Macaca fascicularis: one gene and its partners. The protein of the gene in region 2 purifies or fractionates together with the protein of the main gene of each other region. This does not show direct contact. Links are inferred from orthologs where the notes say so. Each region holds a gene or a part of one and is shown on either strand. Other genes may lie near its edges. The genes, in order: PECR, PEX5 and ACOX1.

Region 1 (3,813 bases), on a different chromosome or scaffold from region 2:
ATTTTCTCACATTAAATTATCCTATATTTGGTTTTGAGGATCTTGTAATTAGAAATTCTAAGCCATAGTGTCTATCTACACAAGACCCCATACTTCATTTATTTTTGAGATGGAGTCTCATTCTGTTGCCCAGGCTGGAGTGCAGTGGTGTAATAACAGCTCATTACAACCTCCGCCTCCCAGGTTCAAGTAATTCTCCTGCCTCAGCCTCCTGAGTAGCTGAGATTACAGATGCCTGCTACGATGCCTGGCTAATTTTTGTATTTTTAGTAGAGATGGGGTTTCACCATGTTGGCTGGGCTGGTCTTGAACTCCTGACCTCAGGTGATCTGCCCGCCTCAGCCTCCCAAAGTGCTGGGATTATAGGTGTGAGCCACTGCACCTCGCCACCTTTGTTATTTAAAATTGATTTTAAAAACAACCACATGCTTGAAATCCTGAAAATTACCGATATGTTTTCCTTTATAATCAAAGTTCTTGAAAGTATTCCTCTTGCATAGTGATTTGAGGAGCCTTATCTGGGTCTATGCCATGTGAGAGTTGCTTGATCATCAGCTGTGGCTTGGATTTAATACTGAAGGACATAGTTTTTTCTTTGTTGTTTAGACAGAAGCTCAACAAGACAGACTCCATAGGAAGAAGTCTCTGGTGGAATTGTCAGGTAGTTGGCATACCTGCCAGCTTGGTGAACCAGAGAAATACTCAACAGAAGCTGATTGTCATGTTTATGTTTTGTCTTTCAAAGGCATTCTGGAGCTGCAAGAGCAGGTGTTTACAACCTCACCAAATCTTTAGCTTTGGAATGGGCCTGCAGTGGAGTAAGGATCAATTGTGTTGCCCCTGTAGGTAAACGATCTATATTGAAGTTTATTGACAAATTATGCTTCTCTGATTCCATTTGTGGTGTTGATAGAGGTATTTGGTAATATGCAAGTGTAGCATAAAAGATTGACTTTAAAACATAGATAAAATGAGAAAGTCTAATTTTCTTTTTTTTTGAGATGAAGTCTCACTCTGTTGCCCAGGCTGGAGTGCAGTGGTGTGATCGTGGCTCACTATAACCTCCACCTCCGGGGCTCAAGTGATTCTCGTGCCTCAGCCTCCTGAAGAGCTGGGACTACAGGCACACGCCACTACCCCGGGCTAAGTTTTGTATTTTAGTAGAGATGGGTTTTCACCGTGTTGCCCAGGGTGGTCTCGAACTCCTGAGCTCAGGAGATCTGCCGCCTTGACCTCTCAAAGTGCTGGGATTAGAGGCATGAGCCACTGCACCCAGCCCAGAAAGTCTAATTATCATTACAGAAGTACTCTTTGATTTATAGCCAGATTGTCAAGAATGTTAAACAAGTGATTCTCGATTCTGGGTATTTTTTTTTTTAGAAGGAGTCTTGCTCCGTTGCCCAGGCTGGAGTGCAGTGGCATGATCTTGGCTCACTGCAACCTCTGCCTCCCGGGGTTCAAGTGATTCTCCTGCGTCAGCCTCCCAAGTAGGTGGGACTACAGGCACTTGCCACCACCCCCGGCTAATTTTTGTATTTTTACTAGAGACGGGGTTTCACTGTGTTAGCCAGGATGGTCTCAATCTCCTGACTTCGGGATCCACCCACCTTGGCTTCCCAAAGTGCTAGGATTACAGGCGTGAGCCACCACACCCGGCCTATCTGTAGATCTTATCTCTGTGATGTCAATAGGTGTTATATGTGCCACTCAGTGAAGGCTAAGCATGCCTGACTTCAAGCATGAAGTTAGTAAACTCATCTCTGACAAAGGCACTCCTACTAGTTCTAATTCATGTTTGCCTTCCAGAGACTTTTTTGGTTTAATGACCAAATTTTCATACTTCTAGATTTTATCCTCTTTAAATAAAAGGCAACATATTGTGTAATTGGAAGCCACTATATCTCTCCAGTATCATTTGAAGTAATTAAAACTGCCAAATTTTCTAATTTTATTTTAACTTTGCTTTCCTCCCCTCCTCGCCATAATTTGTTTAACAGTTTGAATCCATTACAAATGGCTGTATCCTGTGACATACAGTTTTTTTTTTTTTCTTTTTTTATGTTTGGGACAAGGTCTCGCTCTGTTGCCCAGGGCGAAGTGCGGTAGTGCGATCACGGCTCACTGCAGCCTCGACCTCCTGGGCTCAAGTGATCCAACTCAGCCTCCTGAGTAGCTGGGACCACAGGCGTGTACCACCATGCCCAGCTAATTCTTTTTTATATTTTTTGTAAAGATACAGTCTCCCTTTTTTCCCAGGCTGGTCTCAAACTCCTAGGCTCAAGTGATCCTCCAGCTTCGCTCTTGCAAAGTTCTGAGATTACAGGCATGAGCCACTGCACCTGGCCTGGGATACAGTTTTTGAGTAATTTTCCTGACCTTAGAAAGCTAGCGAAAGATACATTTAAAAATTTCGAAACAATTAACATTTTAGTTTATTGGTATTGGATTCAAATGCTTTATTTGCGATTTCAATCTAGGTAAAAAGCCAAGAAAATATTGCATTTTTCTAAGTCTCACGTAGCCATTGCCCAGTCTTCTCTTGTAAAGCAGAGAAGCCAAATGGAAACTAAAATAGACAGAGTCCCCTGTCCCATTGTTCCAAGTTAAGTGCCTCTTTCATTTACTTACATAATCATGACCTTCAGAAAGCAAGTCTTTCATGAAAAAATCCAGATGCTTAGGAGGAAGAGGAGGTCACAAAATAACCATTGAGATCATCCATTTGAGGATGATGGGGACTGTACTCCTTTGACAACATGGAGGAAAATTAATATCAGCACTGTTCACTTGTTTTTGACTTAAGCTACTTAATGTTTGAAATGCCAGTAGGCTATCTTGATATCTTTATAATTAAAATGTAATGCACTTTATTTTAGTGCATTTAGTGTAATGCACTAAATTTGTTTTATTTTTAAACACAGGGAATTATTTATTCCCAGACTGCTGCGGAGAACTATGGTTCTTTCGGACAAAGCCTCTTTGAAAGTTCTTTTCAGAAAATCCCCGCTAAACGAATTGGTGTTCCTGAGGAGGTAAGGCATATTTCCAGCATTGATTAGAATTGCTGTGTGTTGTACTTTGGAATTTGTAATTCAGTGTCATTTTTATGTGGTCTGGATGACATTATTTCTCCCACTGCCACCAGATCATTTCCCCTGTTCTTTCTGGCTCTCAGATATACTCTGGTTGTGCTTTGACTACTGACAGCAATCTGTACTTGAGAGTGAATGTAGTATAAATTAATAACAGCGTTTTTTTCCAGTTTGTTTTATTGTATTTTCATCCCATTATTTTATTACCTGGCATTTGTTGGTACACAGGACCCTAGGACTCTAAGCAAGTCAGACAATTATGGCCATAGGAAGTTCCACATGAGATTTTGGTAAGATTGAAGTCTGTAAAATCAGCGGCTTTCCAAAATGCCAGCAGCAGCAGTCTTTGTGGTTTTTTTTTTTTTTGGCTTGAGACAGGGTCTCACTCTGTTACAGGCTAAGTACAGTGTCGTGATCATAGATCACTGCAGCCTTGAACTCCTGCCTTGGCCTCCCAAAGTGCTGGGACGACGATGATGACGGTGATGATTTTTTCGACAGAGTTTCTTTGTCTCCCAGGCTAGAGTGCAGTGGCGTGATCTTTGCCCACTGCAACCTCCACCTCCTGGGTCAAGCGATTCTCCTGCCCCAGCCTCCCGAGTAGCTGGAATTATAGGTGTATGCCACCACACCCGGCTAATTTTTGTGTTTTTAGTAGAGGCAGGGTTTCACCATGTTGGTCAGGCTGGTCTTGAACTCCTGACCTTAAGTGATATGCCCA
Region 2 (3,913 bases):
TAGTTTATCAGGTACTAGGTATTTTCCTCACGATGGCAGCCTGAGAACAGGGGACACCCAAGGGCTGGGATTTGTATTCTCCAGAAGAAAACGGGGCATAGGATTGGGGCGTCTGAAAGAGGGCAAAAAGGCAAGGAAAAGGAGAAATGTTGCACAGTCTTATGGTCTCTCCCCTGCCATTCTGTTCCCCTGAGGTGTCAGAACAGCTTCTCTGTCTTCCCAGGGATGAGTTTACACAGACATTCCCTGTGGGCCCCGCCGCCCCGAGGCCTCCACCTTTGAAATCTGCAGAGCAGCCAGGGAACAAGCCCGGCCCATGGCGCCACCTGCTGCCTGCCTGGCTCTCTGCTCGTGCACCCTGAGCTGGGATGGAACTTCTGTTCGTCTGGCACTACTGCCCTTGCTCATTTACCGGCAGCCCTGGGCCCCTCCTTGCTCTTCTCCGTGACACTAGGACTCCCTTGCTCTTGAAGCCGGGTGAGATTATCGGGGTTTGTTTCCCAATGACTTTGAGGTTTGACAGCAGAGCACATTCTCTGGCAGATGAGGGGGCCTGAGGCTTAGTCTTATTCCGTGATTAAAAGCATTTCTTGTATGTTTGTGCTTTCCCAGCCTGGAGTGGTGGGAATAAGGCCGCTATGTTGACTTAGTGGAAGGAAGGGCTGACTCACTGTACACCTTCCCTGTACGTTACCAGCTCGAGATCTCAGGATGCGTTGGACCCTATTTTGGTCTCCGGAATTTGTCATCATTCAGTGCTATTTTCCCCATTATGCAGAGGTGGAGAGGGATTGAGGCGGGGGCGGGCCCCTGTCTCCATGGAGACAGTGACGCTGCCCCGCTAGGGGTTATTTGGAAGTGGGGCAGAACTAGGAGGCTGAAGAAGGCCTCGGACTGAACTCCCCAGTCCCTGGTGTTAGGGCCTTTCTCTTTCTTGTGCTTGGGAACATTAGCCAGCTCCATTTTAGAGGGGAGAACTGAGGCTCAGAAGGGGCAGCGAATCCCCTTGGGTCACAATGCGCCCAAGGGAAGAGGCAGGATCAACTGAGCCTAAGATCTCGCGTCTTAGGCTTTCCCCCAGAACGTGGGAAGCCCTTCTTAGCTCCATTCTTCTTTGAGCTTACCGTCAAACAAATCCTAGGGCCCGTGGCCTTTTTGAGCCCTCCTAGAGTCGACTCTCCAAGACCTGCTCTCTAAGGTGCTCTTCCCCTTTAAGACTCACGGCTCTTCCCGTCAGGCTGCAACGCAGTCTTAAGGCCCCGCCTCTTCAGACAGCTTCCGCTGGGCCTGGGCCGCAGCAGGGCGGTCACGGCCCCTTTAAGTTTGAGCCCCGCCCCCTGACTCCCCGCCCCCCCTTCTCCCCTCCCCCAAGCCCGCACCTGGTGGCCCGGCGGGTCGTGCGGCGCGGCGCTCGGCGGTGAGCGCATGACCCGGAGGGGGCGCGGGACAGCGTCCCTGGGCCCTCCCCACCCTTGCGGTGGTCTCGCGGATCCCAGGGGCGGGGCTGGAGCGGCAGCAGGGCTGGGGAGATGGGCGGTGGGGAGCCGGGAGGGACCGGGCGGAGCCGGGGGAAGGGCTCCGGTGACTTAGGGGGAGGGAATGCCCCTCTGCGGTGCTCACCGTATGCTGGGGCTGCGGGGGCCTGGGTATGGTCGGGCTGTTTTCCCACTCTCCCTTGCCCGGGCAGTGTACCCGTCCAGCCCGGTTGTTGAAGCGTCCCCGTAGTCCCCCGGGTTCCAGGCCCCTTTGTGGGGGCGGCTGCTGGCCCCCAGCCCATGAGACCGTAGTCGTGGAGGCCGCTGCAAAGGCACAGGCTGGAAGCGGTGGCCTTTGAGGGGGGCGGCAGGAGAGAGTACCGACCTCCCTCGAACTCCTGGCAGAGGTGGGGGTCACAGCAAAAGGCACTGGGGTGGAGGGCGGCCAGTGCGGGGCAGACGCCTGTGTGCCTTCCTCAGGTGCGGGCAGAGTTGTGGGTCTGGGAAGAGTCTGGCTTCGGTACTTCAGTTCCAAACCTCCTGTGTCCATCAGAGAGCTGGCGGTCACCATGGCAATGCGGGAGCTGGTGGAGGCCGAATGCGGGGGTGCCAACCCGCTCATGAAGCTAGCCGGGCACTTCACCCAGGACAAGGCCCTTCGGCAGGAGGGATTGAGGCCTGGCCCCTGGCCCCCTGGAGCCCCAGCCTCTGAGGCAGTGAGTGTTCTTGAGGTGGAAAGTCCAGGTGGTGGTCTGAGGTGGAGGGGCTGTTTGTACATGTTGGTATAACTGCTTTCTCTATTGTGTTGCAAATCATAGTAGTTACCACTTAATGAGCGTTTACTAAACACTAGAAAACCTTGTGCACCTTTAAATAAAGGCAACCATTTTATGGATGGACAAACCGAGGCTCAGATGCCTGTGGTCTTCATCAACCCCTCATTTTAAAGGAACTGCACCATTTTGCGTCTCTGTCTTTCTCTCTTAGGCCTCCAAGCCTTTGGGAGTAGCTTCTGAAGATGAGGTAAATAGACCAGTCTCTTTTCTGTCCCATTTTTCTCTTGCCCATTGTGTTTTTACCTTTAAACTTAGTTCACCCATATTTCAGTTTTTGGGCTTTCCTGACCAAATGAGAATGCCTGCTTGTTTTTAAATGTATTTTTTTGTGCTTCTAAATCTATGCAAAGACAATTTCTGTTTGTGTGTCTCCAGTTTCTGTGTTTTCCTTTCCTTGTATCTGACATTGGGATCCCCCTCCAGTAGGTCCTGTCTTTTGCTGGGGCCTCCTGACCCTATGGGTTCATTTCATCATTTCTCTTCTGGCAGTTGGTGGCTGAATTCCTGCAGGACCAGAATGCACCCCTTGTGTCCCGTGCCCCTCAGACCTTCAAGATGGATGACCTCCTGGCTGAGATGCAGCAGATTGAACAGTCAAACTTCCGCCAGGCTCCCCAGAGAGGTGAGTCTGGAGTCTAGTGGGAGGGGAGATTGTTTTCCATGTAGCCAGGGCCAAGGAAGGGGGTTCCATTGGATGCTGCTGGCATTGGGGAACTGAGATGCAGAAGGAGACAGAAAAAGTCACAGAGTGTTTTCACGTGTACTCAGGGTTCTTTAGGCATGATGGAATGGTATGTATTGCTTCTGTCTTAGTTTTCTTTCTCTCTTTCTCTTTTAAGCCCCTGGTGTGGCAGACTTGGCCTTGTCTGAGAACTGGGCCCAGGAGTTTCTTGCAGCTGGAGATGCTGTGGATGTAACTCAGGATTATAATGAGACTGACTGGTCCCAAGAATTCATCTCTGAAGTTACAGGTGAAGCTTGTTATGGGAAAATCTATACTGGCTTCTATGGGGCAGAATTCTATGCCCTTCCCCTGTTCAGGGTGTAGCGTGATTATGATTTTTCTGGCCTCATGACTCATTTCTAGAGGGTTAGGGTACTGAACTCAATTTCCCTTAGGTGATAACAGAATGAAATGTATATTAAACAGAGGACTGGGTTTGTACTAGATAAGAGCTTTTGGATAGAGAGAACGAAGAGGTAGGTTGTCCTTTTTGTTACCTGGAGCTTTATCACTGTGGTTTGGTGGAGAGGATCTGCAGATTGGATGGATGGCAGTGTTGCTGAAGAGGAGAGTATTCACTGCGGCACCTGGGATTCTGGCATTAAGTTATTTTGAACAGAACTGGGGCCTTCAGAGTATTGTGACGTTCAAGTGCCTGAAATATGTGGTTTTAGAAGGTAAAGACCATACCATGATGATCATAATAAAAAATAATAATGATAGTTATGTTCTAGGCCTTGTGTTACATGCTTTGAATGCATTGTCTCCTTACTCTCCTTGAGAGTAGTTACTGTTTTTAGACCTAGTTTAAAGATAAGAGAATTGAGGCTTAGAGGTGAAGTGTGCCCAAGGTTACACAGCTTTGTCAGTGGTAGAGT
Region 3 (3,913 bases), on a different chromosome or scaffold from region 2:
TAGGAATAAATGTGAAAAAATGCTATAAGTCAAAATAATCTTGTACTAGGATCATGTAACAGTGTTTGTTTAGGTTAAGGTAAAAAAGTCCTTTTTTTTGTTTTTTGAGACAGAGTCTCTCTTTGTTGCCCAGGCTGGAGTGCAGTGTCACGATCTCGGCTCAGTGCAGCCTTCACCTCCCGGGTTCAAGGGATTCTCCTGCCTCAGCATCCCGAGTAGCTGGGACCACAGGAGCGCACCACCATGCCCGGCTAATTTTTGTATTTTTAGTAGAGAGAGGGTTTCACTATTTTGGCCAGGCTGGTCCACCTGCCTCGGCCTCCCAAAGTGCTGAGATTACAGGCATAAGCCACTGTGCCCGGCCCAAAATCCTTATTTTTATTTATTTTTACCGCTCCTTGTGGAGCAGGGTGGATCACGAGGTCAGGAGTTTGAGACCAGCCTGGCAACATGGAGAAACCCCATCTCTACTAAAAATACAAAAATTAGCCGAGCGTGGTGGTGGGCGCCTGTAATCCCAGTACTCCGGAGGCTGAAGCAGGAGAATGGCTTGAATTGGGGGGCGTGGAGGTTGGAGCCGAGATCGCACCACTGCACTGCAGCCTGGGCGACAGAGCAACACTCCATCTCAAAAAAACAAAAACGAAAACAAAAACAAACAAAAAACACAATAAAACACATGGTATGAAAAAAGGATATACTCTCTTCCACACTAGAACCAAGGGAGGTTTTTATGACATCTCTCTCATATGCACAAGACAACCATTCAAGCGCTGTCATCGATTCAGAACTACTGGGTTCTTAGACTTTCTATTCATTCAGAGGCGTGACTGATTATTCTTCATCCAGGTCCACACTACCATATAATATAATCTGCTACTGCTCCAAAATATTTTTTTTTTTTTTTTTTTTTTTTTTTTTTTGAGACGGAGTCTTGCTCTGTAGCCCGGGCTGGAGTGCAGTGGCCGGATCTCAGCTCACTGCAAGCTCCGCCTCCCGGGTTTACGCCATTCTCCTGCCTCAGCCTCCGGAGTAGCTGGGACTACAGGCGCCCGCCACCTCGCCCGGCTAGTTTTTTTTTTTTTTGTATTTTTAGTAGAGACGGGGTTTCACCGTGTTAGCCAGGATGGTCTCGATCTCCTGACCTCGTGATCCGCCCGTCTCGGCCTCCCAAAGTGCTGGGATTACAGGCTTGAGCCACCGCGCCCGGCCGCTCCAAAATATTTAAATGGTCGTTCAACTAAAAAAAAAAAATCCTTCCAGATTCAGAATTTTAGCCGTCCTCGTTACAAAGAGCAAAATGATTCTGCATTCAAATCAGTCAAATTTGAGTTGCTTGGGCAGAATAATGCTTTTACAACATCCTTGAAACTGTACTCGAGAAAACTCCTGCATTTCCATTTATTATCAACATTCTACAAACACGTCATCCCACGAAAAGGCTTGGATACAAAAGTAATCACATTATTTTCCACACATATAACTTTATTTATTTATTTATTTTTTGAGACGGAGTCGCGCACTCTTGCCCAGGCTGGACTGCAGTGGCGGGATCTAGGCTCACTGCAGGCTCCGCCTCCCGGGTTCACGCCCTTCTCCTGCCTCAGCCTCCCGAGTAGCTGGGACTACAGGGTACAGGGGCTCGCCACCACGCCCAGCTAATTTTTTGTATTTTTAGTAGAGACGGGGTTTCACCGTGTTAGCCAGGATGGTCTCGATCTCCTGACTTCGTGATCCGCCCGCCTCGGCCTCCCAAAGTGCTGGGATTACAGGCGTGAGCCACCGCGCCTGGGCACATATATAACTTCATAAAGTGGCATGAAAATATGCCAGTTTGCATCTTCAAACGCCAAGCACGGTGGTGAAAGGCCACCACAGACAGCAGCTTTAAAGTTCAGGCTTAACAACACTTGCTCTGTGCTAAGGCATACCTACTTTTTAAACCACATAATTTCATCAGGGTCTGCGATGCCAAACTCCCTCATCTTCTTCACCATGATGGCACTTTTCCTGACAGCCACCTCATAACGCTGGCTGCGAGTGAGGAAGTTCAAGTCCTCATGCTGGAAGTCTGGGTCGTTCAGGATCATGTTCTCTGGAAGGGGGTTAAAGGGCATTAAAAGGCAGACAGACACTCGGGGCTCCGTTCCACCCTCCCTGAATCACAATAGGCTTCAGAGTCGCGGACACATCTCGGGAATGGCGATATCCCCCCACCAGGAACACAGGCTGTTCCTCGAAGTGGGGGTCCCGGCTCCCCTAACGCTGGGCGACAGGGCCTGGGCCCCATAGCGCCCCTGACTCCGCATCGAGGGAGTCTCCAGGTTTTCTCAGGAAAGGAGGGAGGTCTCGCCCGCCGCCCTCACCGATCTCTCGGCGGCGCCGGGTGTTCTCGGGACTGCCGTCCAGGATATGTGTAAGCAGCTCCGGGTTGAAGCTGGCGGAATCCCGCTCCCTGCGCAGGTCCGGGTTCATGGCGACGACCAGCTGGCAGCGAAGTAAGCACCGACGGAGGTGGCAGTGACAACCTAAACCCGCAGCTCCAGCGCCGGCCGGGCCCTATGAGGCAGCCTCAGAAGCGCGCAAGTCCCCGCCTCCGCTCGCCCGGCCCGCCCCTTCTTTCTCCGAGGCCCTTCGGCGCGTGAGTGACAACCGCCCAGACAGAGGGGGCGATGTCCGCGGCGTGACTGGGGCCGGTCGCGGGGCAGACGAATCCTCTGCTCCTGGCCAGGGGAGGCTCCCGAGCGGATCCTCGGGAAAGGGGCTCCAAAGGTCAAGAAATTGCCCCGCGGGGCGTTCGGGGAGAGGGAAAGTAAAGCACTTTTTGTATCCCGCCACCTCTCCCGTCACGTGACCACGCGGGGCGGAAAGAGGAAATCCGAGGACCCGGCGACGCCCAGAACAGGTTGGGGGCCTTGGGAAGGGGCGGGACAACGAGGCTGAGGAGGGACTGCGCCTGCGCTTGCCGCCCCCCGCCCCGCCCGCCCGACTTCTCCCCGCTTCCGGGTCTGTGTCTCTAGGCATCTCTGAAATGAGAGGGGTCGGGGAGACTCAGGAACCTGGAGTGGGAGACTGGCTTTGCGGAATTGCTAGGGAGGGTCATTTGGGCTTTTGCCAAATCCACCCGGATTGGAGGAGAATGGGACGGGAACCAAAGTCTCTTTGGGGAGAGGCTCTAGTTACCTTTTGTTAAAATAATGACGTCTTTATTGGCAGAGGCGTGGGCTCCGGGGCCCTGGGTGTGGGATTGTGAGCGCTGCCCGCTGTTTAAGGGGTGGACGCGGACTTAGAATGAGGCCGAGCGGGCAGTGCTGCTGTAAGCCTTCTATCTGGGAAAGCCGACATTTTTTTCCCCCCAACCTCGCAGTTACTAGAGGTCTTGGAATCCAGACTTCTTTGCTTTCGCCATTATCGTCATCAAAGTGGGAAATGCACACTTAAATACTGTTAAAACCTAGTGTAGGGCCGGGCGCCGTGGCTCAAGCCTGGAATCCCAGCACTTTAGGAGGACGAGGCAGGCGTATCACTTGAGCCCGGGCGTTGAAGATCAGCCTGGGCAACATGGCAAAACCTCATCTCTACAAAAAATACCAAAAACTTAGCTGGGTGTAGTGGCATGCGCCTGTAGTCCCAGCTACTCTGAAGGCTGAGATGGGATGGTGGCTTGCGCACCGGAGGTGGAGGTTGCAGTGAGCCAAGATTGTGACATTGCACTCCATCCTGGACAACATAGTGAGACCCTATCTCTACAGGAAAAAAAAAAAACAGAAAACAAAAAACAATTCTGCCCAGTGGGATTGTGGACAAGGGAGATTCACGGATTTGCTGAATCATCTCTAGTCACTGTTTTTTTTTTGTTTTTTTTTTCTTGAGACAGAGTCTCGCTCTATCGCCCAGGTTGGAGTGCCGTGGT

What was found.
Region 1: the proteins of PEX5 (region 2) and PECR purify together in Homo sapiens (affinity purification with mass spectrometry; 3 studies listed by BioGRID, with this or other methods). This does not show direct contact. The link is inferred for Macaca fascicularis from reciprocal best matches to the Homo sapiens genes PEX5 and PECR.
Region 3: the proteins of PEX5 (region 2) and ACOX1 purify together in Homo sapiens (affinity purification with mass spectrometry; 3 studies listed by BioGRID, with this or other methods). This does not show direct contact. The link is inferred for Macaca fascicularis from reciprocal best matches to the Homo sapiens genes PEX5 and ACOX1.

The regions. Positions count from the first base shown.
Region 1 is NC_088386.1:111,947,127-111,950,939, reverse strand, and holds part of PECR (peroxisomal trans-2-enoyl-CoA reductase), read left to right. Parts: intron 1-745; coding exon 746-842; intron 843-2,921; coding exon 2,922-3,032; intron 3,033-3,813. UniProt on the Homo sapiens protein: Participates in chain elongation of fatty acids. Catalyzes the reduction of trans-2-enoyl-CoAs of varying chain lengths from 6:1 to 16:1, having maximum activity with 10:1 CoA. Has no 2,4-dienoyl-CoA reductase activity.
Region 2 is NC_088385.1:8,173,560-8,177,472, forward strand, and holds the start of PEX5 (peroxisomal biogenesis factor 5), read left to right. Parts: upstream 1-1,381; 5' UTR 1,382-1,882; intron 1,883-1,955; exon of another isoform or gene 1,956-2,028; 5' UTR 2,029-2,044; coding exon 2,045-2,191; intron 2,192-2,462; coding exon 2,463-2,498; intron 2,499-2,800; coding exon 2,801-2,933; intron 2,934-3,150; coding exon 3,151-3,282; intron 3,283-3,913.
Region 3 is NC_088390.1:82,392,229-82,396,141, forward strand, and holds the start of ACOX1 (peroxisomal acyl-coenzyme A oxidase 1), read right to left. Parts: upstream 2,537-3,913; 5' UTR 2,476-2,536; coding exon 2,367-2,475; intron 2,096-2,366; coding exon 1,936-2,095; intron 1-1,935. UniProt on the Homo sapiens protein: Involved in the initial and rate-limiting step of peroxisomal beta-oxidation of straight-chain saturated and unsaturated very-long-chain fatty acids.